Xenopus tropicalis: one gene and its partners. The protein of the gene in region 7 purifies or fractionates together with the protein of the main gene of each other region. This does not show direct contact. Links are inferred from orthologs where the notes say so. Each region holds a gene or a part of one and is shown on either strand. Other genes may lie near its edges.

Evidence for each region.
Region 1: the proteins of ddx23 (region 7) and snrpd2 purify together in Homo sapiens (affinity purification with mass spectrometry; 3 studies listed by BioGRID and IntAct, counting the BioPlex papers as one, with this or other methods). This does not show direct contact. The link is inferred for Xenopus tropicalis from reciprocal best matches to the Homo sapiens genes DDX23 and SNRPD2.
Region 2: the proteins of ddx23 (region 7) and tssc4 purify together in Homo sapiens (affinity purification with mass spectrometry; 3 studies listed by BioGRID and IntAct, with this or other methods). This does not show direct contact. The link is inferred for Xenopus tropicalis from reciprocal best matches to the Homo sapiens genes DDX23 and TSSC4.
Region 3: the proteins of ddx23 (region 7) and snrnp40 purify together in Homo sapiens (affinity purification with mass spectrometry; 3 studies listed by BioGRID and IntAct, counting the BioPlex papers as one, with this or other methods). This does not show direct contact. The link is inferred for Xenopus tropicalis from reciprocal best matches to the Homo sapiens genes DDX23 and SNRNP40.
Region 4: the proteins of ddx23 (region 7) and aar2 purify together in Homo sapiens (affinity purification with mass spectrometry; 3 studies listed by BioGRID and IntAct, counting the BioPlex papers as one, with this or other methods). This does not show direct contact. The link is inferred for Xenopus tropicalis from reciprocal best matches to the Homo sapiens genes DDX23 and AAR2.
Region 5: the proteins of ddx23 (region 7) and eftud2 purify together in Homo sapiens (affinity purification with mass spectrometry; 6 studies listed by BioGRID and IntAct, counting the BioPlex papers as one, with this or other methods). This does not show direct contact. The link is inferred for Xenopus tropicalis from reciprocal best matches to the Homo sapiens genes DDX23 and EFTUD2.
Region 6: the proteins of ddx23 (region 7) and prpf8 purify together in Homo sapiens (affinity purification with mass spectrometry; 5 studies listed by BioGRID and IntAct, counting the BioPlex papers as one, with this or other methods). This does not show direct contact. The link is inferred for Xenopus tropicalis from reciprocal best matches to the Homo sapiens genes DDX23 and PRPF8.

The regions. Positions count from the first base shown.
Region 1 is NC_030684.2:70,386,201-70,390,345, forward strand, and holds the start of snrpd2 (small nuclear ribonucleoprotein Sm D2), read right to left. Parts: upstream 2,808-4,145; 5' UTR 2,737-2,807; coding exon 2,735-2,736; intron 1-2,734. UniProt on the Homo sapiens protein: Plays a role in pre-mRNA splicing as a core component of the spliceosomal U1, U2, U4 and U5 small nuclear ribonucleoproteins (snRNPs), the building blocks of the spliceosome.
Region 2 is NC_030680.2:22,340,707-22,344,985, reverse strand, and holds the start of tssc4 (protein TSSC4), read right to left. Parts: upstream 2,814-4,279; 5' UTR 2,641-2,813; exon of another isoform or gene 2,566-2,640; intron 2,543-2,565; exon of another isoform or gene 2,218-2,542; intron 1-2,217. UniProt on the Homo sapiens protein: Protein associated with the U5 snRNP, during its maturation and its post-splicing recycling and which is required for spliceosomal tri-snRNP complex assembly in the nucleus.
Region 3 is NC_030678.2:79,150,067-79,154,087, reverse strand, and holds the start of snrnp40 (U5 small nuclear ribonucleoprotein 40 kDa protein), read right to left. Parts: upstream 2,814-4,021; 5' UTR 2,742-2,813; coding exon 2,661-2,741; intron 984-2,660; coding exon 854-983; intron 268-853; coding exon 174-267; intron 1-173. UniProt on the Homo sapiens protein: Required for pre-mRNA splicing as component of the activated spliceosome. Component of the U5 small nuclear ribonucleoprotein (snRNP) complex and the U4/U6-U5 tri-snRNP complex, building blocks of the spliceosome.
Region 4 is NC_030686.2:39,757,139-39,761,180, forward strand, and holds the start of aar2 (protein AAR2 homolog), read right to left. Parts: upstream 2,823-4,042; 5' UTR 2,780-2,822; intron 1,643-2,779; 5' UTR 1,641-1,642; coding exon 1,099-1,640; intron 757-1,098; coding exon 539-756; intron 411-538; coding exon 181-410; intron 1-180. UniProt on the Homo sapiens protein: Component of the U5 snRNP complex that is required for spliceosome assembly and for pre-mRNA splicing.
Region 5 is NC_030686.2:17,884,210-17,887,750, reverse strand, and holds part of eftud2 (116 kDa U5 small nuclear ribonucleoprotein component), read right to left. Parts: intron 3,414-3,541; coding exon 3,287-3,413; intron 2,027-3,286; coding exon 1,939-2,026; intron 1,827-1,938; coding exon 1,708-1,826; intron 1,492-1,707; coding exon 1,397-1,491; intron 1,320-1,396; coding exon 1,166-1,319; intron 870-1,165; coding exon 762-869; intron 248-761; coding exon 152-247; 3' UTR 1-151. UniProt on the Homo sapiens protein: Required for pre-mRNA splicing as component of the spliceosome, including pre-catalytic, catalytic and post-catalytic spliceosomal complexes. Component of the U5 snRNP and the U4/U6-U5 tri-snRNP complex, a building block of the spliceosome.
Region 6 is NC_030678.2:45,519,498-45,523,581, forward strand, and holds the start of prpf8 (pre-mRNA-processing-splicing factor 8), read left to right. Parts: upstream 1-1,272; 5' UTR 1,273-1,503; intron 1,504-1,527; exon of another isoform or gene 1,528-1,622; intron 1,623-2,795; 5' UTR 2,796-2,806; coding exon 2,807-2,906; intron 2,907-3,428; coding exon 3,429-3,597; intron 3,598-3,906; coding exon 3,907-4,071; intron 4,072-4,084. UniProt on the Homo sapiens protein: Plays a role in pre-mRNA splicing as core component of precatalytic, catalytic and postcatalytic spliceosomal complexes, both of the predominant U2-type spliceosome and the minor U12-type spliceosome.
Region 7 is NC_030678.2:135,997,354-136,000,894, forward strand, and holds part of ddx23 (probable ATP-dependent RNA helicase DDX23), read right to left. Parts: intron 3,387-3,541; coding exon 3,303-3,386; intron 3,222-3,302; coding exon 3,128-3,221; intron 2,002-3,127; coding exon 1,936-2,001; intron 1-1,935. UniProt on the Homo sapiens protein: Involved in pre-mRNA splicing and its phosphorylated form (by SRPK2) is required for spliceosomal B complex formation.

The DNA of each region.
Region 1 (4,145 bases), on a different chromosome or scaffold from region 7:
TCTGCAGCTCTTTAGAGAGATTATAAACCATTCATGTCACTATTAGCCCCACCACAGTTTAGATTTCATTAACATACTGGTCTATGCAAGAATTGGGAATATATACAGTGGTGTGAAAAACTATTTGCCCCCTTCCTGATTTCTTATTCTTTTGCATGTTTGTCACACAAAATGTTTCTGATCATCAAACACATTTAACTATTAGTCAAAGATAACACAAGTAAACACAAAATGCAGTTTTTAAATGAGGGTTTTTATTATTTAGGGAGAAAAAAAATCCAAACCTACATGGCCCTGTGTGAAAAAGTAATTGCCCCCTGAACCTAATAACTGGTTGGGCCACCCTTAGCAGCAATAACTGCAATTGAGCGTTTGCGATAACTTGCAACGAGTCTTTTACAGCGCTCTGGAGGAATTTTGGCCCACTCATCTTTGCAGAATTGTTGTAATTCAGCTTTATTTGAGGGTTTTCTAGCATGAACCGCCTTTTTAAGGTCATGCCACAACATCTCAATAGGATTCAGGTCAGGACTTTGACTAGGCCACTCCAAAGTCTTCATTTTGTTTTTCTTCAGCCATTCAGAGGTGGATTTGCTGGTGTGTTTTGGGTCATTGTCCTGCTGCAGCACCCAAGATCGCTTCAGTTTGAGTTGACGAACAGATGACCGGACATTCTCCTTCAGGATTTTTTGGTAGACAGTAGAATTCATGGTTCCATCTATCACAGCAAGCCTTCCAGGTCCTGAAGCAGCAAAACAACCCCAGACCATCACACTACCACCACCATATTTTACGGTTGGTATGATGTTCTTTTTCTGAAATGCTGTGTTACTTTTACGCCAGATGTAACGGGACATGCACCTTCCAAAAAGTTCAACTTTTGTCTCGTCGGTCCACAAGGTATTTTCCCAAAAGTCTTGGCAATCATTGAGATGTTTTTTAGCAAAATTGAGACGAGCTTTAATGTTCTTTTTGCTTAAAAGTGGTTTGCGCCTTGGAAATCTGCCTGCAGGCCGTTTTTGCCCAGTGTCTTTCTTATGGTGGAGTCGTGAACACTGACCTTAATTGAGGCAAGTGAGGCCTGCAGTTCTTTAGATGTTGTCCTGGAGTCTTTTGTGGCCTCTCGGATGAGTTGTCTCTGCGCTCTTGGGGTAATTTTGGTCGGCCGGCCACTCCTGGGAAGGTTCACCACTGTTCCATGTTTTTGCCATTTGTGGTTCGCTGGAGTCCCAAAGCTTTAGAAATGGCTTTATAACCTTTACCAGACTGATAGATCTCAATTACTTTTGTTCTCATTTGTTCCTGAATTTCTTTGGATCTTGGCACGATGTCTAGCTTTTGAGGTGCTTTTGGTCTACTTCTCTGTGTCAGGTAGCTCCTATTTAAGTGATTTCTTGATTGAAACAGGTGTGGCAGTAATCAGGCCTGGGGGTGACTACAGAAATTGAACTCAGGTGTGATAAACCATAGTTAAGTTATTTTTTAACAAGGGGGGCAATCACTTTTTCACACAGGGCCATGTAGATTTGGAGTTTTTTTTTCTCCCTTAATAACGTAAACCTTCATTTAAAAACTGCATTTTGTGTTCAATTATGTTATCTTTGACTAATAGTTAACGGTTTTGATGAGCAGAAACATTTAAGTGTGACAAACATGCAAAAGAATAAGAAATCAGGAAGGGGGCAAATAGTTTTTCACACCACTGTACTAAATCAGATATAACACTATTTTTCTGACAACAAAACGTCTACTGGTGATTTTTTGTTTAATGGAGAATACAATTTTATTAAAAATGGGTTACCCTATTAACTGTCCATTTTGGTACGATTTTAATTACTAGGTTTAATTTTCCCCAAATAATCATGTTTAAAGCTGTTTTTACCCATCGCTATCTACTTGCTGCCTCCATGTTTTTAAAGGAGTGCCCCATAGTCAAAAACATTACTGAGCATGTGTGAAGTCCCACCCCTTATTGCTAGAGCAATTAAGCCTTAATAAACTAACAAAAAAGTCTGGGCTGAATGTGTTAAAAGGCATATTTTTCAGTCATATGCATTTTTTAAACACAAATTAGTGTTTAAGTTGACCACACAGATCTCTATAATCGTGCAAGCACATAAAGCTGCAGAATATTTCCTTTGTAGAAACTTGTCATGTGGGTCCAACCAGGAAAGATATGGAATTGATTAGAAATTGATTGAAAACATTTAGAACCATTGAAAATGTTTAAATCGTGTATACTGAATAGTTGCTTAGTATTAAAAGACACATATCGGATTTGAATTGGGCTAATAGAACCCGCACTTAGGTTGGGGGAAACAGTACCATTTTGTCCAAAAAAATGCTCATAGCGATGTGCCACCCACACCCGGATGATGGAGAACTTGCTGCAGGTAGCCATGTTATTAACATGCCTGTATATAGTGAGCAAGTGTCACATGCAATTGCATAATGAGAAAACCCGGGGAGCTGTTTATACACACGACCTGGTGCTGGTAGCCTGCAAGGGAAGCTTTTTGGCACTGCCATCTCTGCCACAGTAATTAAATCACAGAACTACACAGCATTTTCTAAGTGCAGGCAAGTTCCGGCTAGTACAATCGCATGCTCTGCTACATAGAGGCATTCGTTCTAAGCGTCAATCAGCTAAACTTAAGTAGATACAAAAGGCTAGTTTTTTTCCTTATTTTTAAGTATTTAAAGCTGGGCTGAAGATATTCCACCAGTTACTCACATCTTTCTTTTTGTCTTTCCTTTCCCTTCTCACGTTTTCCCGGCGTGTAGAACGCTTCCTTTGAAGGGCCACTTCCGCTTCCGGGCCACTTTAGCGGCTAGTTCCTGCTTGATTTGGTTAAGCCTGTAGAAACGTGCCCACGTGATCGACACGAAACAAGTTCCCTCCAGTTTGCTACGCAGAGGGGCAGCGGCGTAATCTGACAGAGAAAAGGCGGGGTGGATTAGTTAACAAAGAGGGCGCATCTAGTTCCTAGAGTGGTTATAGGACAAGGCAAATCTTATTCCAATATTGTTCCAGTATGTAAGGCAACGCTCTGTGCTGGGAATTCAGTCGCTAAAGAGCGCAATAAGAACAGTTCCATGTTTCATTTTGACCATGTTTTCTCAGATTGTGCAATTGGAGGGATATACCAGTAGGTGGCGCAATTGTTACATAATAATTATAATAGACGCTTATAACATGCTTAATAACTTTGAAACTGAAAACAAATCTGAATTGCAAAAGCATTTGGAAGACCGACCAGAAAATGTGTACACTTTTTAGTGTCCTATTGTGTAAAATAACTGAATGGATAGCTTTACTGCGTAGCAGATTTAAAGGTGTTCTTCACCTTTGAATTAACTTTTAGTATGATATAGAGCAGTGTTCCCCAAACAGTAGCTTGCGAGCAACATGTTGCTCTCCAACCCCTTGGATGTTGCTCCCAGTGGCCTCAAACCAGGTGCTCATTTTTGAATTTCTGGTAAAGGAGGCATGTTTTGCAGCCATAAAAAACAAGTATAATGCCAAACAGAACCTTCTGTAGGCTGCCAGTCCACATGGGGGCTATCAAATAGCCAATGATAGCTCTCATTGGCACCTCCAGGAACCTTTTTCATGCTTGTGTTGCTCCCAAACACTTTTTCCACTTGAATGTGGCTCACAGGTATGAAAGGTTGGGGATCCCTGATGTAGAGTGTAATATTCTGAGACAATTTGCAATTGGTCTTAATTTTTTATTTGTAGTATTTTTTTTAGTTCTTTCACTTTTTGTTCATCAGCTATCTTAGAGCTAGAGTCCAGATTACCTTAGCGACCAGGTAGCAATTTGAATGAAAGGGTGGTAAATAAATAGGAGAGGACCTGAATAGAAAAACAAGTTATAAAAAGTAACAATAACAATAAAACTGTATGCTCACCAAGCAATAGTTTTTTGGCTGCTGGGGTCAGTGACCCCTATTTGAAAGCTGGAAAGAGTTAGAAGAAAATAAAAAAATGATTCAAAACTATAAGAAATAATGAATAGGAATAGGCAATTCTATAACACACTAAAAGTTAAAGGAACAGTAACACCAAAAAATGAAAGTGTATAAAAATAATTAATATATTATGTACTATTGCTCTGCACTGGTAAAAGTTGTGTGTTTTC
Region 2 (4,279 bases), on a different chromosome or scaffold from region 7:
TGAACCTTCAATGTTCATTTTAACTGGTGTTCAAGTTCTAACAAAAGCCTCTGCTTGGAATAAAAGCCTGCGGTAGCTAGGATTTCATTATATCCACTGAAACAGACATATATCCCACATAACCAGTCCTCACTCACATCAAGTGTCAGCAAGTTGTCTCCTGTCAACTACGTGCCAACCCTAGCAAGGTCTGCCAGTAAGTTTTACATGAAGAGCCTAACATTAGCTACACGGCCATTTCTTCCAAATAAACGGCCCTCACATCGAGTCCCAACATGTCCGAAATTCATAACATCATCATCATATTTTACATTACATGCAGACTAATATAGAAGCTACCATGGAAGAATTTTTTACTTTGGCAAATCTCTGCCATCCCGAAGCAGCACCAGAGCCACTAGAAGTTGGCACTAGGGGTGTCCACCCATTTTCATACCTTAGAATCTATAAAGGTAAATTCATAGGCACCAATAAATGATTAATAGTTGCAAGGGTGCCTATTAATATGTCCCACATAGCACCTCCCTTGCTAACTGCCAAGTAGATTCTCCTGACAAAAACCACATTCATTTATACCAATTCAATTAAATGGCCACCTCTTTGCAATGGCAGGCAGGCCTGAAACCCCAGCCAGGCAGTATACAGAGGGTGAACTGTAGGCCTACAGACACATAGATGTCCCATAACAGGCAAATGAGTAACTATTTTAGAATTTAAAGAACACCTTAATTTGATCACTAAAAAGGTGTAATGGAATGTTATGGTGTAAAACACTAAAGCGAGGAGTCACTTAACGAACACAAAATATAAATTCATGCCACTGACTGTATTTATAAGAGAGTAAATCATGGGAACATGCCAGCCTACCCAGCAATGCTACTGCATTCATACCTCCCAACATTTGAAAAGCAGAAGGAGGGACAGAAATGTCTGGCGCGCAAGCCAACATTTTTAGGCCACGCCCACTTTATGGCCACGCCCCCCCCAAACAGGCCCATTTTACAAAACCACACCTGAAAAGCATAACATACACAAAGTGCACCAGAAGACAGACACGGTGGCCCCAATCATTTTATGACATATTGTGGCCCTAAGGATTTCATTATGCACTGTGGCACCTGTATTTAATGACAAACTCATGACCAGACATTGGTAGCCAGGTGTTATGTTTTGCATTGGCGCTAGAGCAGGGACCCCCTAAAACATTGCTGGTCCTCCCGCAGTGTCCCCCTACTACGGGCTGCTCCCCACTGCAGCATCCTCCCCAACATCCTTCAGCTGCCCCCAGCATCCACCCAACATCCTTCAGCTCCTCCCAGCGTCCTACCCAACATCCTTCAGCTCCCCCCAAAATCCTTCAGCTCCCCCCAAAATCCTCCAGCTCCCCCCAACATCCTCCACAATATCCTTCAGCTCCCCCAACATCCTCCAGCTCCCCCCAGCATCCTCCAGCTGCCTCCCAGGGTCCTCCAGCTGCCCCTAACCTTCCTCCAGTGTCCTCCCCAGCGTCAACCTGCTTTCTGTGGCACCCCCTGCTCCTACCACCACCAGCTTCCTCCGGCTGTGCCCCAGGGCTCTTCTTCTCCTCCTCGTGACGTCACATGCACGTCTCTTGAGTGCCGCAGCTGCTGCACTGTGAATGGCTTTATGTTAAAACTGAAGTGAGCGGCGCAGAAGCTGTGGCGCTAAGGGGAGACGTGCGTGTGGCGTCACGGGAGCAGAGACCTTTAAAAGTGGGACAGATCTGCAGCTATCCGGGACAGCGGGACAGGGTGGCAAAATCGGGACTGTCCCGCATAAAGCGGGACAGTTGGGAGGTATGACTGCATTTTCCAATATGAAAGAGAAATTCAGACAATGTATAAATAATGAAGGAATCACCATTCCCAAGAGTTAGGACTAGCAGTGCAGTCAGAGACAGGGCACATCAACATTAATAGAAAGATCTCTAATAATAAGAAATGCAATTCCATCATCCAATCACACGTCTGAATGTATTCTAAGGACAGTCATTGGGTGCTTCTAATTCCCCGCCCCCTTGATATTCCCGCCACCCAAGTGAGGTGCAGAACTGTACAACATGTCATTTCCATTACTGAGCCCAGCAGGGATGCTCCTTCTAGTGTAAAATCCCTTCCCTATGCCTTTCTTGGCATCTCTAACCAAACAGGAGAATATTCCATTGCATATGGCCGAATTGTGGGACCCAGTCTGTACCTTATATTTTCCTGCTTACTACATCAATGTCCAACTCACTACCCTCAAGTTGAGATTTATTTATAACTCCCACCCCTATTGGGGTGATACCGGAAGTCACAGTGGAACCCCAGAATGAAGGCAGCACCGATAGATACACTCAAAATATTTAACAAACGTTGCACATTATATGTCCTTCCCAGCCAGCCAGGCAAGGTGCGGGCTCATGAAGCTATGCCTGAAGCACAAATGCGGGACGGTATTAATGGATGCGCGTCCCAGAACACTTCCGGTATGGCGGTACCAAGGAAGGAGCGCAGGGATATCCCTAATCGGATCGCTACATCCACAGGGCCGCTGCCGCCTTACACTGCATCATGTGACTGTCTCCCTGGGCCTAACGCTATAGTCACCATTCTCCCATTCACACTAGCGGGGCCTCACAGGTTGGCAGCGCTGCTCTCTATCGCTCTCAGCTCAGCTATAATGGTTTCTCTCTTCTCCGCCTCCTCCATACCGCAAACTAACAAGCCATAAGGTTTTCCCGGGCTTCAATCTGCCTCCTCCCAGCATGCACCTCGCTAATACGCGGAAGTGCTAAACAACAATGAGTGTGCGAGGTTGGGGGCGGCGCTTCAGAACGCCCTCTAGTGGGGTGTTCTTCCAACTGCATGTGTGTGTTGCAAACGAGGCTAAAGGCGCGAATGGGGAAAGTTGTATTTGTGTAATTGGAAAATAAAGAAATTTCTATGAAAGTTTATGTACTTTTTTCCCCTCTCAAATTGGCATTTAGCAGTGCTTTTACATGATCTCTGCTTAATGGTTGCACCTAGAATAACCCATTCCATAGGGATCCCAGGTTACTATATAAGCAGGCAATACAGTGTCTATGGGGATATTTATGATTTACTACATTGCCCCAAATGACATCTCAGCAAACATGTAGCCTGCATCATAGCCATGGGCAGAGAATTGCAATTGTGTTTCCAATTACTATAGGAAGGGCTGCCATCAGTGGGGTAAAGGGGTGCTGCAATCAGAGGCCCTGTGGCAGAGGGGGCTCCAGAAGAAGGATTCACTGGTCATTAAAGGGCAGGGGGAGTGGGTAGGGTTTAGGTGGATTGTGGGCAAGATTTTACTCTAATGGGATGTGACTGGGGTTGATCAGGGCCTTGGTTATGCATGTGCTGCCCATTATTCTTATTTTTCCATTGGTGACTTGTTGGCGGGGCCCACAGTCTAGGTCCCTAAGTGCCCAGTAGGTAAATAATTGTGTGCCGCCTGGGTGGGTACTAGTGCCTTGTGATTTGTAATGGTATCCATGACTTCTGGGTATTGTGTAAGAAAAGAAGCTGAGAACCAAGTTGATTATAAAGGGGGCCATACACTGTAAGATCCGCTTGTTGGCAAGGTCTAAAGGACAAATATCGGCAACTGAAATTGGCCTGTGTATGAGGCCTGTGAAGCAGTTGAATAATCTTGTCCAATACAGTGAAGCCAGGGGTGTATCTTGGGATCTCTGGACACCCCCATACCACCCATGGACCATAGGGGCTGTGAATGGGGAATGTGGGCTGCTTTTTACTGGGTCCCCTGTCTCTTTGGGTCCCTCTTTGGCCATGGCGAAAGCTGAGTCTCCTCTCCATAAAGTTAAGTTACTAAGGTTACTAAGGTAACCTATGCCACTATCATCACCACTTGCCCAGGCTTTCTGCCCTTCTTCTTTGGCACCTGTGAAGCAGTTGAATAATCTTGTCCAATACAGTGAAGCCAGGGGTGTACCTTGGGATCTCTGGACACCCCCATACCACCCATGGGCCATAGGGGCTGTGAATGGGGAATGTCAGCTGCTTTTTACTGGGTCCCCTGTCTCTTTGGGTCCCTCTTTGGCCATGGGGAAAGCTGAGTCTCCTCTCCATAAAGTTAGGTTACTAAGGTAACCTATGCCACTATCATCACCACTTGCCCAGGCTTTCTGCCCTTCTTCTTTGGCACTGGAAAGGTTGCCCAGCAGCCAGCTAAATGCAACAAGGGGTCCACTGGCCACTTTTATCTGTTTGACACCCCTGATAGCACCGAGGGC
Region 3 (4,021 bases), about 57 Mb from region 7:
AGGAAAATCAGGCATAAACCAAAGATATTACAGTGTCTGGCATCCTGGTCTTTGCAATTTTACAGAAATTAGTATGCATAATTTAGTACCACCAATGTGTAATACACAGGATAGTTTTCAGTACCCGTAAAACAAAAATGACTACATAAGCCCCAGACCAGACAATTACCTACCTCCCGTCTGTATTGTAATGAAGCTCCATCACTGCTCCACTATGTCCTTTCAAAGTTGCATAATTGTCACAGTCGCCATATACATTCCATAGCACTACAAGGCAAGTCAAAATAAACTCACTCAATAACTTCACAATTTAAGGGTAAAATACATAGCTTCATTTTTGGATTCAAATTCTAATTGTTATTAATGTACAATGCAGCATAAAACTAAAGTTTAAATGGTTTCATATTCCTTGTAAATTCCAGATTCAGACGGTGTCAGTTTTCTTGCAAATCAGTTAAATACCTACAAAGAAGTTCATGTGTGCTGCTAAATTTACTTGCTTTGTTTAATAGAATAAGTTACCTGCTGGGCAAACCTGCCAAAACATGGTAGCTTATTTAATTTGATTAAATATTACAAGAAAAGAAAAAATAAAATAACACATACCTGCATAACTTTCTTAATCTGATCAGTTGTAACATTCATAATTAATGTTACAGCTTGTATAGTGTGATAATGTGCTAAAAAGGAGCTAAAAAGCATAACAAAATTACAGGAGGTGCAGATTAATCCTTAATTAGTAACGTATAGATGGCCAATTAATTGTGTGATTCTACAGATGAAAAACAACATCTGCTACTAAGTCAAACAGCTGCAAAATACAAAGCGTATAAAACAAGTGAAAGTTGCTTACAGATAAGTCTGTCAAATCCTGCAGAAGACAAAGTTACACCATTGGGATGAAATTTGCAGCAATAAACTTCTCCTTCATGACCAGAAAGCAGCATGATGGGAGCCTGAAGACTGGATGATCTTGGGGGACCCTGCAGTCAACAAGTTCAGAGAATTAAACATCAAAGTAGATTCAGTTCCATTTATTACCTAAAGAAATATTTTATTCACCTTAAATTTTTAGTATTCTATAAATTACCATTTCTATTCTATTTTAAAGGGGCACTGACACATTCCTATAACAGTAAGGAACTTGTCAGTATTACCCATAATGCAGCACAACACTACTGCTTTTATTGAAGATTTACCCCAAATCTCCTCCAGCCCAGTCACACTTACCACAGGCAGAGTTAAAGGAACAGTAACACCAAAAAATGAAAGTGTATAAAAGTAATTACAATATAATGTACTGTTGCCCTGCATTGCTACAACTGGTGTGTTTCCCTCAGAAAGACTACTATAGTTTATATAAGTAAGTTGCTGTGTAGCCATGGGGGCAACCATTCAAAGGAGAAAAGGCACAGGTTACTTAGCAGATAACAGATAAACCCCCATTATATGGGGCTGATCTACTAGTTATCTGCTACATAACCTGTGCCTTTTCTCCTTTTTTCAAGCTTGAAAGGCTGCCCCCATGGTTACACAGCAGCTTATTTATATAGTAGCTTTTCTGTAGCAAAAACACCAGTTTTTTGCAGAGCAACAGCACATTATATTTTAATTACTTTAAAACACTTTAATTTTTTGATGTTACTGTTCCTTTAAGCCAGCAGTCTGGATAAAGAGATGCTCCCTGCAGACATGCGGGCTGTGGGTGGTGCCATCATTCTATAGGCAGGAATACAAATGTAAACTGTACTCCAGCCGTTGGAAGGATTGCATGGAGGCCAGTGTGACTGACAGACAACTCGTTAAAGTAACATTCTGCGTGTAGTAGTGTTGGGATGGGGTAAGTGTGTTTGGGCTGGGGGAAGCCCAACCAAGTGCTGCATTGTCAGTAATACTGACACGTTCCACGTCAGTATTCTTTTAACTACTCTTTGGCATATTTTCTCCCCTTAAAATTCAGTTTTAGTATTATTGTTATATTGCCTATTGTTTATCAGTCTATTGAGATCCTTCCCTAATTATTTGCCATTTTGAGTTCCAATCTACTTCTTGGTTGCTAGGAGAATTGAGGTCTAAACAAACAAACCTTAGAGGCGCAGAAGAAATAATCAAACTAAAACATGAGAAACAGATATACAGACTAAGGTCATGCTGTCTACACTATACTAAAGGACATTTTAAAACTGAACTACCCCTTTCAGAAAAAAGGCATGAAAATGGGTTAAGAGAAAGTCCCATAGCAGTAAAAATACTAGCTTTTTATTTACTATTTATAACTTTTGGAAATAAAGTTTTTTTTTTAAAAAAGAAAACTTTAACTTGATTACCTTCATTAAAACAACTAGAAAGTCCCATAAACGAAAAACCACAACCCATTAGCGTAGCAAAGTGTAATCACAAGGTCCTTAATGGCTGTGTGGGGTGCACAAGACGAGTCAATACTATAAGTAATTATACCCCTACCTATGTTCAGACGTTAGAGCCTTATGATTACACTTTTTAGCTTATTCTTATACCGTCTAAATCTTTTAATAAAGGAAATAATGGTACGATTTAGATTATGTCTATAATTTTACCTAAAGTCCAAGTCAAATATGCCCAAGGAATGAATGGTTACACTTATCCAAGCCAACCATTTCATTCAAATTCTTCATTCTTACCGAAACCACCAACTCGTTCCTCGGTTTTTTTGCCTGTACCGGCACCAACTCCATTCCCTTCCGCTTGTTTTGCTCGATCATGTTTCCAAGAACTCCTTCCAGCTTGTCTAACACTCACAAACCCAGCCACACTGTAAGACTCGCTTGCGTTCCCACTCAGCAGCGCAGGATGCTCACGCAATTATCCTGCGCAGTCACTACCTGATAAAGATTATAGTGGTGATTGGCTCTAAGACAATCATGTGACCTTGAAAGCCTTTAAGGGGCGGAACAGAGCTTGCGCCGATTTTGTCCATTAGTAATGACGTACGATGGGCGGGGTTGCGCGTATAAGGATGTTTAAGCAACTGGGCTGATACAGGAGAAAGAGAAAATGACGTAGAAGTTGTTGTAATTGGTTAAATGTGATCGGCCGGGGAGGAGACAGCGAAATGGCGGCCCATCAAAGGTAAAATATATAACAAGTCAGTTAGAAGAAGATTAATAGGCTATTACATAAACCATTATTAACGCAGCTTGATATTTCTCTGCAGGTGATTCAATTTTTTTAGGCACATCACATGTAATTTTGTCTACTCCAGTAAAAGGGGCTGTTGGCTTTAGGTGCCTTACATGCTGTTAGCGCACACTGAAGGATTCATAGGCTGGACATGCCTTCACTTTCTCTTCTATATGGAGCATATCTATTATAGTGTGTAAGTCGACATCATTGGTGGTGATGTGGCCCTTAGCAACCAATCAGATCTTTGCTTTGGATTTCTAACTTTTAGGTGACTGCTAAACTCTTAATTGCTGATTGTTTGCTATGTGCAACATCACTGGTGATATTGGCTTATACGCTAGTAAATAGGCTAAGGATTAAGGCCATATGTTATTCTGCACATAGAGCCACATTTACAAGCGTATTTGTAAATTTAGAGAGGTGACAGACGGGTATATTAGTCGCCCCGCAGCAATTCTTTGTTGCTGCGGGCAACTAATCTCCCTGCTATGCCATCCCACCAGCAGGAATGTAAATCGCCGGTGGGATGGCATATGCGTCACTACGATTTTCTGAAGTCGCCTTAAGTTGCCTTAAGAGGAAACTTCGGGTGACTTCCTTAGCCCTATGTGTTGTAGCAGCCATGATTACTATAAGGTATTACAAATCTATTGTCACAGTGACCCAGTTACACAGTGTATGGGTTTGAACCTGCAGTGAAAAAGAATGAAAGTGTCCCTGCCCTATGTTATGCGTATTTATCTCATTATTCAGAGACTTACGAAATATACATATTTGTATATATATCTTTATGTGACTCTAATTTTATATGCAATTGTTTTTTTTTTTTTTTTTTTTTTTACAATACTTTTATATTACA
Region 4 (4,042 bases), on a different chromosome or scaffold from region 7:
CTGTGAGCAGGGCCGGGAGTTGTAGCCCAAAAACATCAGAAATAGCACAGGTTACCCGATCTTTTTATAGACTGCAAATGACTAAATTATGACTTCCAGTTAAAATACAAGCTATGAGGTATAAACTGAACATTCCTGTCCCACACAGAAGAATGTAGATTGTAAAAAAGTGTGAAGTACCTGCAGAGTACTGGTAAGGAAATTGCTCTGGGATACAATGTCAACAAAGAAGTCAGTGGGTACTTGTGCCAGCTGGTGGTATAGGACTGATATAGTTTCCATGTACAGTTCTGGGTGCTGCAGGGAGAAATTCTCTGCCCGGCACAAAAGGTTCAGTATTTTCTTCCACTGCTCAAATGCTTCATACACATTCCCAAGTACAAAGCAGACAAAGGAGAACTGCAGCTCAGCTGGAAGGGAAAGAGTTAAAGTCAAGATAAGTAAGGTAAGTCCCTACTGGGCAAAACCCACCTCCCACCTGTACTACTATGCCACTATGCACATAAACAGGGTTAAAGTAGAAAGCAGTTGGACTTACCAAGCAGCTCCAAGGGTTGCCCTGGGTAGTGTGTATTCAGCAACTGCCCCAGGGCATAGGAAAGGTCCAAGCTGTGCTGGGTGATCTCAGTAGGGGTGGCATTATCAGGGTACGTCTTGTCAGGAATCAGGCTAAACCGAATCTCTGTTCCCTCTTTCTGCTTCATTTGGGGCAGCCTGGCCATGCCCTCCTTATAGCTTTGGCACACACTGTCATATCTGGGAAGAGAACAAACCTTGTAAAGCACTGCCTATATCTGTGGCGCTATAGCAATACAGTACAAAGCCAATGCTATATTTTATGGAGAATAGTAAACATATGTAAAAACAAATTAAAAGTTGGTATATAGCAGGCAGCCAAGTGCCACAGACCTAATGTTTGGATAAAAAAAATAATAAAGTTTCTTTATTCTAAAACATACAAATGCCTATACCCAGTCTGCATACATTCCCACAAATACACACTATAATAGGCACACCATTTCTAATAGGACACTTATCAAATTGGTAAATTCCCACCCTCCTGACAGCGCTGTTAGTTCCCCCTGGCTTTTCCCATACCTGGGCAGATTATGTTGGACTCGGTCGGCAGTGTGGGTCATGGGTTCCGTAGGAAGGACCTCAGGAAAGGAGAAGATGGTGCCACATTTCGGCTGTAGCCTGAACATGGACTCTTTCTTGATGTGATTACTGAGCGACACCCAGCGACGCATGCTCTGATAAGGATATGGCCCCAGGAAGGAATCTAAGGATTGAAGCTCCTCCCTTAGTTTTTCGGCTTCTTCTTGAGGGGCTACGACCATCTCTTCCTCCTGGGGGTCCCAGCGGAAAAGACGCAGCTCTCTCTGTTGCAAATAGAGGAACATGCTGCTGCGCGGGCTCATGTCTCCAAGGCCCCCTCCTTTACCAACCACGTTGTAGTGCATGAAATGAACACCCGGGGGCACCATTTTTACACCTCTAAATCGAGGTCCCACTTGCCAGCTATTATAGTCTATGCCAAATTCAGAGCCTTCTGGTACCCCCAATATCACCAGGGTTGCACCTTCAAAGAACAGCTGCCGGGCAAGTTCAGGATCCATGTCTGTTGAAGGGGTGTCCATCTCTATAAAAGGAAGTTGTTAAAGGTTATTCATTAATTGGTTTTCTAACGCTTTGTATTCTCAAACATTACCAGTTTATCTTTGGGGGGTATATAGACATGTTTTAGGGTTATGGACACAGGGCACGGTGGCTGTCCCAGCAACAGGGACACAGAGTCCTGGGACACAGGGAACCCACTTCCTGTTACACTCCCCAGAAACAATGCTGTTTTGCCTAAACATGCTCATACTGGGAGGGAGCTCCCAGTGAGGGTGGCCATGTTTGGTGACATGCAATAACTGAATCTCCTGCCTCGCTCATTATACCTATGCCTGTGACATCACACTCCTGTGCATAAATTAGAGAGCTGGGATTCTACAGCTTAGGGTCCCAACATGGCCATCAATATAGAGGGGGGGGGGCAAGTGGTGGGTGTTGAGTAAAGTTTGTCTAAAGTTGATGATTTCAGAGCAGGCAAGGATTCCTATATAGAGCTTTCTGCTCCCCCAGAGTTTCCCTTCTTCTCTTGCCTCTGCTCAGTAATATGCAGAACCACCCCCAACCCTTTCTCTGGCTTTAGGGCTCATACTCACAAGTGGTTTTGCTTGTGAGTCACAGATACAGGGACAGCAGAACCCAGAGTGACAGATACAGGGACAGCAGATCCCCAGAGTGACAGATACAGGGACAGCAGATCCCCAGAGTGACAGATACAGGGACAGCAGATCCCCAGAGTGACAGATACAGGGACAGCAGATCCCCCACAGAGTCACAGATACAGGGACAGCAGATCCCCCACAGAGTCACAGATACAGGGACAGCAGATCCCCCACAGAGTCACAGATACAGGGACAGCAGATCCCCAGAGTGACAGATACAGGGCCAGCAGATCCCCAGAGTGACAGATACAGGGACAGCAGATCCCCAGAGTCACAGATACAGGGACAGCAGATCCCCAGAGTGACAGATACAGGGACAGCAGATCCCCAGAGTGACAGATACAGGGACAGCAGATCCCCAGAGAGTGACAGATACAGGGACAGCAGATCCCCAGAGTGACAGATACAGGGACAGCAGATCCCCCGTTAGACAGGGAGGAAGGACACACTAGTTGCCAGACTGATACCCCTGACACAATAAACCCACCCTCACTACATACCTTTAGTACTGTAACAGCCTGTAGGCAGAACAGCTCACATTCGTACCCGGAAGCAGAAAAGCTTTCCCTGTGCAGCACAATAGCCCTCCCCCTGGAAACCCGACCCTATGAAATAATGGTTCCTATAGTTAACTGTCCGCAACATTTCCAAATCCCTGTGTTCTGGAACATTATAGAGCCTGAGCGCCTCAGACTGAGAGGCACAACTAGAAGGGAAGCAGTAAGCACTGCTGTAAAGGTCGAATTGTTCTAATAAAAACACAGTTCCAGGGGGACACCGGCACTGAAGGGTTAATACCACCTTCTGGGGGGGGGGGGGGGAACTGGAACTTATGGGAGGAGGACACAACTCCCCTTCAGGGAGTTTTCTATTTATTTTACTTTATTTTATTTGACTTTTTATTGTTTATATTGCATCTCTCCTTTTCCTTACAGGAGATCTTGGGCAGGAATCATGGTTCAGCCCCCAGACATGTATGGAGCTCTAGAGAAGGGCAGGAGCTCTGGTTAAGTCCCTTCAGCAACTGGGGGAAGGGGAGCTGCTCACCCCCCCCCCCTCACTTCACGCAGGTTGCAGGTTCCCCCTATGGACTGGGACCCTGGGGCTACTGCTGGCAGAGATAGCCAGCATCCTTGGGCTACATGGGCAGGATTTGGTGCTCCGCTGCTGTATGTGGTTTGGCAGCGCAGGAGGGTGGGAGCTAGTGATGTGTCGGTCAAGAAATCCTCGACTCGAACTTGCCCACTCCCAACCCTAACCTGCCCACTCCCAACCCTAACCTTCCCAACCCTAACCTGCCCACTCCCAACCCTAACCTGCCCACTCCCAACCCTAACCTGCCCACTCCCAGCCCTAACCTGCTCACTCCCAGCCCTAACCTGCCCACTTCCAACCCTAACCCTGCCCGACCCGGCTTCTTCCCTCTGTAGACCCGCACCTGCCCCACATGTGCCTATAAATTAGAGAGCCGGAAGAGGAAGCCGGCAGTGTAAGGTCACAGGTGGGGAAGGTGAGTGCAACCCACAATTGATGTGCCAAGGTTTGGCCGAACCCACCAGGAATCCTATTACCACACAGGTTTCTTTTCTTGATTGCACCCAGTGTTGCGCTAGACTTCGGTCTCCATTCCTGAGCCTCCCTGGGTACGCAAGCTAGCTCATTCACTGGCCTCCTTGCAGGGTCTTGACAGACTCCCTAGATAAACTGTTTGCTTCCCAGTCTCCTACAGGTTTTTTGGGCAAGCGCAAACCCCCAGCCATTTC
Region 5 (3,541 bases), on a different chromosome or scaffold from region 7:
TGCCTGTCTAACCCCGCTGGCAGTGGTTTAACAACTGTAACTCATGTCTGGTTTGACGACAGAAGTACCAGGTAGCTGTTGTGTGAGAGTATGTGGCCTTATGGAATGAGGGAGAGTACAATCACGGGGGTTGGATGGACACATGTCCCTTTTACATAGGATAATTTAGCACCACATCCTGTTTCGCCAGTTCCAGCAACATAGGATCGTCGAAAAATTTGCTGATACTCACATCCTCGCTTAGGCCCTACGCATGGTAAAGAAATAATGTAAGAGGTTAAATGCAGAAGGGGGCGAGGCACTCCTTTATACAAGAACAGAGCATGAAGCTGTCTCTGCAGCAGTATTAACAGGAAAGAGAAATGCAACTCTGGGAAAAGAACTGGCCTAATTCCTAAATACAAAAGATGAATGTGTAACAGTTTGCAGCAGCCAGGAAGCTGAGCAGACTAAGTGAGCAAAACATTTGTTTCGAGTTCAGATGTAGCACTATCTGAGCCCACGGAAGATTTTAAAAAGTCCAATTTCTTAAATGACAAACTGGCATGACATTATTCCTTTCATTTGTATATTTCCCCACAACCTATGCTTCTCCAGGTGCTACAGCTGCTTATGAAGCCACGGAGAATTGCAGTTCCTCAGAAAAGCCACCAATTTACTCATAAACACACTGTTTAGGATTGAAATTGCTTATGAAAAGAAACCCCAAACAGTCTTTGAACAACCTGCCCTCTCTTCCTTCTCAGCCACATAGAACTTACCTTCCTACGCCTTGTCTTTATCATGAACTCCCTGGCAAGGTGTGGTGCTGGTTGTGGTTCCAAGGGCCGTATAATGATGCTTTTATCCAGAGGGTCTCCAGGAACAATCTACCAAAAGATAGCAGGCAAGTTAAACAGCAAACTGGCACAGTGCATTATGAAAATACTAGCGCCAGAACTAGGGGTAGGCACCTTCCCAAAGCACAGTGGGGGGTGCAGAAACAGAAAATGGGTAATGAACTATCAATAACTTCTACTTTCCCTTCCTTTGCAAGATGTTCTATGTCAGTATGCCACTAACTGTCAGAAAGCAGGAAATGGCGTGGTAAAATCACGGGGGTGCCACTATTTCAAACCATATCCAAGTTGATTTCCCAGGATATCCCAGATGGTTAGATTTGTACCTGCCAGTGATGGAAGACAGACAAGGAGAAGGCTTGTCCCTGGGTGTGTGTTCGCAGGTCAGTTTCAAACCCAAATGAATCTATTGCTGGGATGAAGGCTTTGATTGTGTAAAGAGGCGACCCAGGAATTGGGGCGTCCTGAGTCACATGCCCTCTGTAGAAAATGAAATATATTTAGAGTATGTTATGGGACAATACTGTTGGTCAGGAAGCGGAATCTCAATTACTCACCTTCTTCGGGCCAAAACAGTATAAACAGCAGAGACACAGTCTGCAGGGGCTTGTACTTCCACAAAATAATAGGGCTCCATTAGACGAGGAGTTGCCTGTATTTACAGAGGAAAGTACTTTGTGTTTAAGAGAGAAGAACCAAGGCACATGTCTTATATAAAGAGACGGTATGGTATAGACAGGAAATACATATATACATGAAGGTGCTTGTTTGTTATAGTGGGGGATACAGTTTTAGGGCACAGAGACACTTCTGTATTATATATAAAGGAACATGTGTATTGAGTCAATGTGGTGACAAAGGATGTTACCATTAGGAAGGCGGAGTAAACCACTCTTCGGGCTGTGGGGATGATCTGTCCCCCACCACGGTGTAGGGGCTCCTGTGCGATAACAGCATCCAAGATCTTAAATTTGACATTGCGGATCACTGAGGAGCAAAGGAGAGCAGAAAATCAGCAATTCCCTGTAGTGCCAAACTGTAGAATGTTTCCAATGTTACACTGTGACGGAACCAGAGAAAGGTGCAGCCAGATACTCACACTCATCACACAACGGACCCTCTCTTGTTCCCCACTGGAATCCCTGTACAATGCTGTCTTTGACTGAACTCAGCAACGCCTTATCCACCTATTAGGGCACAACGGAGAATTTCATTAACATGCAAGTTGATGGGCAGTGCACATAAGCAGCTCTAGCTGATAGATATAGAGATATAGATCCCTGTAGCAAGCTACTTCTGCATTTACACTCTAGGGTAATGTCGCTGCTAGAGCACTGGGGCAAATATGGATGTAGGTTGAGGTTAATTGTTAATCACTGCGTTGTAATAAAATATTTTAAGGGGAACTAAAGCTTAACTAAAGAATTAGGCTAAAAATGTTGTACATTTTGGTTAGGGCTTCTGTAGCAGCCCAAGCGACCACAGCCCTTTAGCATTTTTAGGGTTTAGTTCTCCTTTAATCAGGACCTGCTTTTCTTCCTCAACCAGAATTGTGAGCATTAAAAAAAATCTTAAAAGGGAGCCGGTCTTTATATTTTGGCTGCTGGCTTGTTTCTCCCAGTGGCCGGAAATGCAAACCTGGCTGGCAGAAGTGGTACCTGGAAGAAGAGCACTAGACATTCATAAGAGAGGCTTTGTCTGTGTCAATACCTTGCTAGTTTGGCACAAAAATGTTTGGCCAGGGAAGGCAGCTCTGATTTCATCTGCACTCCCTGGAACTCAATTGCAGAAATAATTCTGAGAGCAGAATGAAAGTCTTTGTCTAAAAGGAAACCTGAATTTAAATCACCAGCTGAGTTCTGGTACTATAGGCAACATCTGCACCCCAATCAACTGATACAAAAACCAGGTGGATCATACTAGACTACTGCAGTATAACCTAAAGAGGTTACATCAGCCAATCATGAAGCTGTAATCACTTAAGCCAGTGGTCTCCAACCTTTTTCACCAGTGAGCCACATTCAAATGTAAAACAAAACAAACATGCAAAAGGTTCCTGGGGGTGCCAAATAAGGGCTGTGATTGGCAATTGGTAACATCTATGTGGACTGGCAGCCTAAAGGAGACTCAGTTTGGCAGTAATCATGGTTTTGATGCAACTAAAACTTGCTTTCAAGCCTAGAATTTAAAAATAAGCTCCTGCTTTGAGGGCACTGGGAGCAACATCAAAAGGGTTGGTGAGCAACATGTTGCTACTGAGCCACTGGTTGGGGATCACTGCCTTAACCCATAGGTGCACTGGCAGAAGTCATTTTATCAGTGTTCTTTTGCCCATGGAAAGCTAAAACTTATGCAGGTGCTTTTACACTAATAGGTAAGGAAAGCCTGGAGGATAAAGGATGAGTACAAGAACAAACAATCTCCTCTACTGCACAAGTGCCACCTACCTCGGAGGGGAGCGTGTCATCAACCAAAATATTTGGTCCAGTTGTGTCTGGTCCAAAAGCCCAAATAGAACGGGCAGCAAGCAAATCCCAGTCATATTTGGTCTGAAAAAACTCTCCCAGCTTCTTCCTGAAGAGGAAAAGATATAGAGTTCACACACAGCTTTAACAATCACGAGAGGCAATATTTCAGGTGCTGTCAATATACAGAAACTAAACATATACATTACAGCATCAAGAACCAAAATTTGCAGAATC
Region 6 (4,084 bases), about 90 Mb from region 7:
GCCCCCCCCCTCACCCCCAGGGTCTGTTCCCTCTATAGTTACACCACTGACATCTTTGCTAAATAACAGATTGCAGGAGCTGCCACAAAGCCAAAGACGTTCTATGCCAAAAATGAAATAAAGAGGCTTGCTAAAAACACATCAATAAATAGGATGACAATTGGCTAAATGACTGGGACGCTCAGTGGCATGTAGCATAAGGGCCCTCTGCAGTTGTGTAGGGTGTAATCAGCTTGGGTCATGAGGAGTCCCTCATGGTCAAAGATAGAGCAATGCACCTACACTGGGGCTCATCAGCTAAACTTCAGTCTAACTTCAATATTGCATAACAGTTCCCTCTCCCACAGCAGCAGTAGAGATGATCCTACTGGGCAAGGAGATACCCAGCAACCGTTGGAGGCACTGGCAGCTCATTTGCACATATGGTGCCAGTTTATGTTACAATGAGAGAAATATGCTCATTTATGCTTTGATTAAGAAACCTGAGGAACGCGCAGGGATAATATTGATGACACACACAAGGTCAGCCTCAATGTCTACATCACATTAAAAGTGAATTAAAGGTGAATTACCCCTTTAAGCTAACTGATCCCAAACACAAATGTATGGAGAACCCCTCACAGAAGTGCCTGTATGAATACTTTTACATCCTAAGCATTTTAGGGTTAAAAAAAAACCACTCCCACCCGCACTTTTGCCAGTAAATTAATCGGGATTTAGGGACTAGGAAATGCTCTTGTGTGCATTGTAAACATACCGCCATTACACAGCATTGTTCATGGCACCGCAACTCCAGGTGTTTCCTCATTAAAGCAATTAGTGGCTCAGTTAGCAAGCAACTAAAGGCCGTTCTCTTCCTATTCCTCTCAGTGCAGCCATTAACCTTACCTGTACCTGTGCAATCAGCTAATTGTCACCTAAATACGGAACTGATGGATTTTTGGAGCCTTTTGTCACCCAAACATCGTGCTGCAACAAACCAGCAGGAAGTATTGTGTGCAAGCCCTGTTTGGGGACAGGAAGTAACAATGGCTCCCAAACCACTGCGGTGTCCCGCTGCGAAGGCCCAATATGTCGCGTAGTTGAAGACACCCTAAGCCCAGTCTGAAAGCTTGCTAGTGGAACTATTTGACTAATTACAAACTCTTTAACTCTTTTTTTGCATTTTATTTTAATTCATTGCTTTAATAATAAAATAAAACCCTGATCACGTGTTAAGTGGGATATAAACGAGAGCTCACAATACTCCCGCGAGAATATGGCGCCACACGTATTTCCGCCGCGTAGCCAATACGTCACACCGAACGGTCCAATACGCTCTTCTTATTGGTCTTTGTGAAGGGTCACCAAATCGACTATTTCCGGTTTCTACTCCCTCTCTTTGCTTCTTCTCTTGTACATCCGGGTTACTGTGCCTATCGTGCGCTGTGCGTCCGGCGGCCATTGCGGTTCTGGTGAAGAGGCGGGAGCGAGAGGCTTAAGACCGAGATTCGGACAGAAAAGGTGCGTGTGCGTCGTATAGTGGGGACAGGGTGCTTGGAGGCTTTGCATTGGCTGCGAGAAAGAAGTGGCAATCAGGCGTGCATTTCGAAAGCCCAACAAGGCTTGCGTCCGGATATGTTGTGTGTATTCATAGTTTCTATCCGGGTTGTTCATGTAGAATTGCTGCGAGGTTTACTGAGAATGCCGGGCCATGTACTTAGCTTGAATTCATGTAAACGCGATCTGCAACCCAAAATTGTTTAGTGCAGACGAAAAGCGTAAATTGAAAAGTTGCTTAGAATTAGGATGATTAAAGTTTTTTGTTTACGTAAGTGCACCAGTATAGAATGTTTTAGTCTGCTTCATCAATCGGAGGCAGCAGCGTACAATGTAGCAGAAACCAGCTGATCTGACCTGCAATATTGTTGCAAGGGTTAGAACTGGGGTGCCTATAGGGACAAGCACTGCCTTTAACTACAGATACTTACAAATCACACAAGGTGTTTGATGCTTTGTATTACAGTATATAAAACTTCTGGAAAAGAACCAGTGTCCCCCAAGATAGAATACAGTAGTGACTACCATATATGTTTAGATGCCATGGGTTGGTTTTTGTGACTGAAAGATAAAACTTGGCTGAGGCAGAGGAAACTCACTGAATGTGTAAAAATCTGAACCTCTTCCACATTAACACTTTTCAAGCTTATGTAAGAAAAACGGTTCACTGGTTGTGCAGTTGTGGTATCTGTTATGAGCAGAAAGCTGTATGAAGAATTCTAAGCCTAAAGTTACTGTTTTTCCCCAAAAGCCAACAAAGGAATGATACTTTGCTATGGGATGCTAGGTGGTATTCTTCTATTTGTAGTAAATATAAATGGTCTACAACAATCAACCAGTAATCGTTGTGTAGCGTGCCCTACACATGGGGCCTATGTCTGGCACTGGCATAAACACTGGCAGCGAATGAACAGACACATGAAGTAACTATGGCTCCCAAACTGCTGCAATTTACCCTTAGTGGTGTTCATGCTAACTTCCCTGCCACAGCTCCAAGAAACCCCCACAGTTAAAAAAACATTAATCCCGGATATGGCATTAACACTTTATTCTGAATAGAAAATGTTACACAGCCTTCAGTTGGTTATTTGTGCAGTCCAGCTACACAAGTTCACTGCCTGCTTAATGCTGTACACTAGCCTAAAGTAAGGGAGAAACATTTTCTCTTTATGGTTGTGTTAAACATTTAATCATTCGTAACTTAAAAGCAATTTGATTAGATAAAATTAAGTGCTGCTATTTCTATTTTTTTCCAGTTTGAGACACCATGGCCGGGGTGTTTCCATATAGACCACAGGCACCGCCAATGCCCGGCCCCCCAGGTGGAACACCGGACTACATGTCTGAAGAGAAGCTGCAGGAAAAAGGTGCAACCTTCTTCAATTTGTTGTAAAAACCAAATGCTCTTTCAAAGTCCTTGCATACTTGGAGGGCTTCATGTGTCGTTGCTCAAAATGTAATTATTGATGAACTCGGCTGAATGTCACATACTAAACTAAATCTGACTAAAAGAATTGCATCTTCTGTGAACAAAAAATTGTTGCAGTATGCTTTATCATTTTAAAGTTGTGTGAGTGTTCAGTTTAGCTGAATGTTGGGTAACAGTAGTACAAATATATTAAAGAGGGAAGAAGGTTTTTTCTTTTTTAAATTTTGAGGATAAGTTAAGTACATACTGAGAAATTAAGCTTGAAATATCTTTGCTTGCTGATCATAGTAAAGAAACCACCTTTCTTTTTTGCCCAATTTTCTTAATTATGCAGGATTATGTTTGCGTTTTTGCTTCATGTTTAACACCAGTATGGTAGTAAATTGGATAGCTTATTCATGTCATATTTTTTTTAAACTGTATAGTTGTCTCATCCATGTTTCACTTATTTTGATTCCAGCACGAAAATGGCAGCAGCTACAGGCAAAACGCTATTCAGAGAAAAGAAAATTTGGGTTTGTGGATGCACAGAAAGAAGATATGCCTCCAGAACATGTTCGCAAAATTATTCGTGATCATGGAGACATGACCAACAGAAAGTTCCGACATGATAAGAGAGTTTACCTTGGGTGAGAGAATTAATTTCGGCAACATACCAGCAAGGCACTAACCTAAGCTGACAGACAGTAGTCCAGTGTAAATTAAAAAAAAAAAAGCCTGCAGAAGCAAGGTGCAGTTGTTTAGCAGGTAAAACAAGCAAAACTCAGTGGAGTGTAAGGATTGGAGTATTGCAGTACCACATTAACTAAACATAAATTGCCTTTGCACATTTTTTTAAATTGTAATAGTTAACCTCATGCTGTGATTTTATTTAACATTTTAAATTTCCAAAGTTCTGTTTTATGGTTAAGTGTATCCTGGTTTGTTTTTGTTTGTAGAGCATTGAAGTATATGCCACATGCTGTCTTAAAGTTACTTGAAAACATGCCCATGCCTTGGGAGCAGATCCGTGATGTCCCTGTGCTGTATCATATAACAGGAGCCATCTCATTTGTTAATGAGATTCCATGGGTCATTGAGCCTGTCTACATAGCACAGTGGGGGTAAGTGCATCTT
Region 7 (3,541 bases):
GCCCGTTGGACGTGAATGCAGCATGCTGAAAGATTTCTGAAATACTTTTTTGTTGAAATACATTGACATTTGTCGACTGGGCAGGTTTAAAAATACAGTTAGGAAGAGGAGCTCTACAGCACGCTGATGTGGCCCTTGTAATGATGGCCTGTATGCCATCAAGGTGAGTGTATCTGGGAAAGATCCGCTCATTTGGCAACCTCACCAAATGAGCAAATCATTCAATGTATGGCCAGCTATAGCATCCTCCACAGAAGAATCGGAAACAATACCTTGTTCCCTTCATATCTTTCATGTTACATCTTAATTTGAGGGATAATCTATACTATGGCCAGCACTGGTTTGCTAGAAAGAGTTTTAACCATAGTTTTAGACAAATAGAGCAAGCCGGGAAGTATGTGCTCTGGTGGATGCCTTGAGTTGTGCAAAGAAAATTAGCTAAAAAGAACACACAAAAGGGACCATGAGAAGGGAAGGAAAAAATTTGAGAGCAACATTTTTCTTTAAATGAGACAAAGCATAGCATAAAATCCACCCAATCTTGTAGGCCAAAGTAAATAATATATGGTGCTGGTTTCACTTTGGGCTAAAAATTATTATCTTTAAAAATGGCCCCTATATTGGAGCCCCCACAAATCTGCTACAAAAAGGGACTATGTTTCAAATAAGGGGTGGGGGCATATTCTAACAGTCCCTACCTGAAGCACAGTAACAGAGGGATACCCAATCACAGTTCTGAAGTTACATAAGACAGGCTTCAGTTCCCTATCTGGTAAGATGTGCTGACAATTGGTTCATATTCTGCAGTGTGCCGAGTGCCGTGAGCAACTTTGCAGAGCCTGCAAATGGAGGCAGCAGGAAGTGGAACACATGGGCAGGACTAGCAGGGTTTTTAGAGAAATTTCCAAAAAATAAGCCCAAAACACAACTATTCTAAGCACAATCCTTCTATACATAAAGTAGCATAATGCACTTGCGCGTTCTTTTTTTACACAATATTTAGCCGTTCATTTCCTAACCATATCACACAAGCAATTACACACAAATAATGCACAAAAACACAAAAGTAATAAACATTTTCCCCCTCTGGGTTAGAACAGTTAGTGCAGCAACAAAGCATATATGTATATGGAAATTGATGGCAACTGATATATTTTTGCTTGGTGCACAAAATTATTAAAATCCAAACATTCTGGACAATAGATCTCCAATCTGTAAATAAGACTCCAAATGAAATATACATTTAGGAAAAGTAGGCAAGCAGAACACTGTACTTAAGGCGGCAAACTGCTATCACCACCCACTTTTTATGGCTGAAGATCGAAATGTGTGGTTTTAAAGGAGAAAGAAAGGTAAAGTCACTTGGGGGTGCCAAAATGTTAGCCCCCCCCCCAAGTGACTTTAATTGCCTACCTTTTAGCCAGGGCTGGTGCCCCTGCTCGGAGAGAACAGCACCAGCCCGGGGTAGCAGCGATCGATTCCTCCTTCCTGGTTCCCTGCGCGCGCATGTGCAGTAGAGTGAAAAGCCGAACTTTAACAGAGAAGTCGTCTTTTCACTATACTGCGCATGTGCCGACTGCTGGCATTTTCGGAAGGGAAGCAGGAAGGAGGAAGCGCTGAGCTACAGGTACCCTGGGCTGGTGCTGTTTTCTTTGAACAGGGGCACCAGCCCGGGGTACAAGGTAAGCGATTAAAGTCACTTGGGGGTGCCTAACATTTTGGCACCCCCAAGTGACTTTGCCTTTCCTTCTCCTTTGAAAGTTTAAGGAATAGTCTCATTTGTCCAACACCCATACGTTTCCCATACCTCCACATAAAGGGGGGTGCATGTATCAGGTGGCCAAACTTTTAACAAATGCTTTTTTTGCTCAGCAACCTGGTATTCCAGGTTGAAATCAAATTATCCGATTCTTAAAAAGAACCCAGATTTCATACCTTGGACTCTGCCTCCTCCTCTTTTTTCTTCTTCGCTAGCAGTTCCTCTAGTGACAAAGGATTCACCTGGAAAACAGAGTCAAACACTATTAAACTAAAATCTAATAACCATATTTCATATGACCTGCTAAATAAACCTTCATATTTTGTAATTAGTAAATAAAAATTACAAATGTAAAAACTTTCAGCATTTTTTCTGCAAAAGCCAGAACTTGTTCATAAAGATAATAAAGAAAAACTGTATTTGCCAGCTGATAATGTAGAATTATATATACAGGTATGCGATCAGTTATTCAGAAATCCACTATTCAGAAAACTCAGAATTTAGTGAAGGCCAAATCCCACAGACTCAATTTTAATAAAATAATTTTAAAGCATATTTAACAAATTTTTCTCTGTAATGACAAAACAGTACCTTGTACTAACTAAGATATAATAAATCCTTATTGGTGGTAAAGCAATCTTATTGGGTTAATGTAACATTTAACCGATTTTTAGTAGACTTAAGGCATGAAGATTCAAATTTACGAAAGGACCCCTTATCCGGTAAACTCCAACCAAGTCCAAGCATTCTGAATCACAGGCCCCATACCTTTACAGAAATATGTGCAAGGCCAGGAAAACCATAATAAAAATATAGATGAACACATCTATGACTATCTACAATATTTTTTTTAAATAATTAACCATGGCTTACACTGGCAATGCAGTGGCAGAACTTGACTGGCACTACACTGGTCACCCAATGCCACCACAATTTTTTTTCATGGTCAAAACCCTATTGCCACAAGACTGCAGTCTTTGGAAATCAAAATTGCACAAAAGCACCTTGCATTTCAGCCTTAAGGCCTGTCGCTTTATCTATACATTCTGATCCAACTCCTGTACATTTTATCAATTATCAATTACTATCAATTTTGGAGTTCAAGCAAAAGGAAAATTAACTGCATTAGCTATGCATATTGACAGTGTTTTAGTACTGTCACACCTCATTAGTGGTGCAAAGTAGAATGCATTTAAACTTTAATTCTATATTCAACATCCCACACCATACATGGACTGAAATGCACACCCTAAGCTTAAACAGAATATTTTTGGAAGACAATATGTACTAGGTTTGAAGCCTTAGAAACCTTAGTGCCAATATTCCCTAAAGGCTTCACATACATATCGAACTATAATCACATCTCACCTTTGACTTTTTGTCTGTCTGCTCTTCTTCCTCCACTTCTTTTTTTACTTCCTTCTTTACTTTGGTTTCTTTTCCTCTGTTGGGGGACACACTTCTGAGAGAAATAAATACAGAAGGTTAGGAACTGGTAAGGATCAAAGGATAATAAAAACAATGAATAACATTTTGACTTTACCTAGAACGCTTTCTTTCTTTGTCTCGTCTGTGGGTATCTTTCTCTCTTTCCCGATCCTTCTTTCGATCTTTCTGTCTTCGGTCCCTATGATTGGCAAAGTAAAGCATATAGTTAAAAAATAAATAAATAAAAGTCACACAAAATGACCAATTCTGATGTATATATATTAGTTTACTAGTGAAGAAGTTTAATGCATCAACATCTTGCATATTTGAAGACTATTTAGTCTTTTCAAAGCT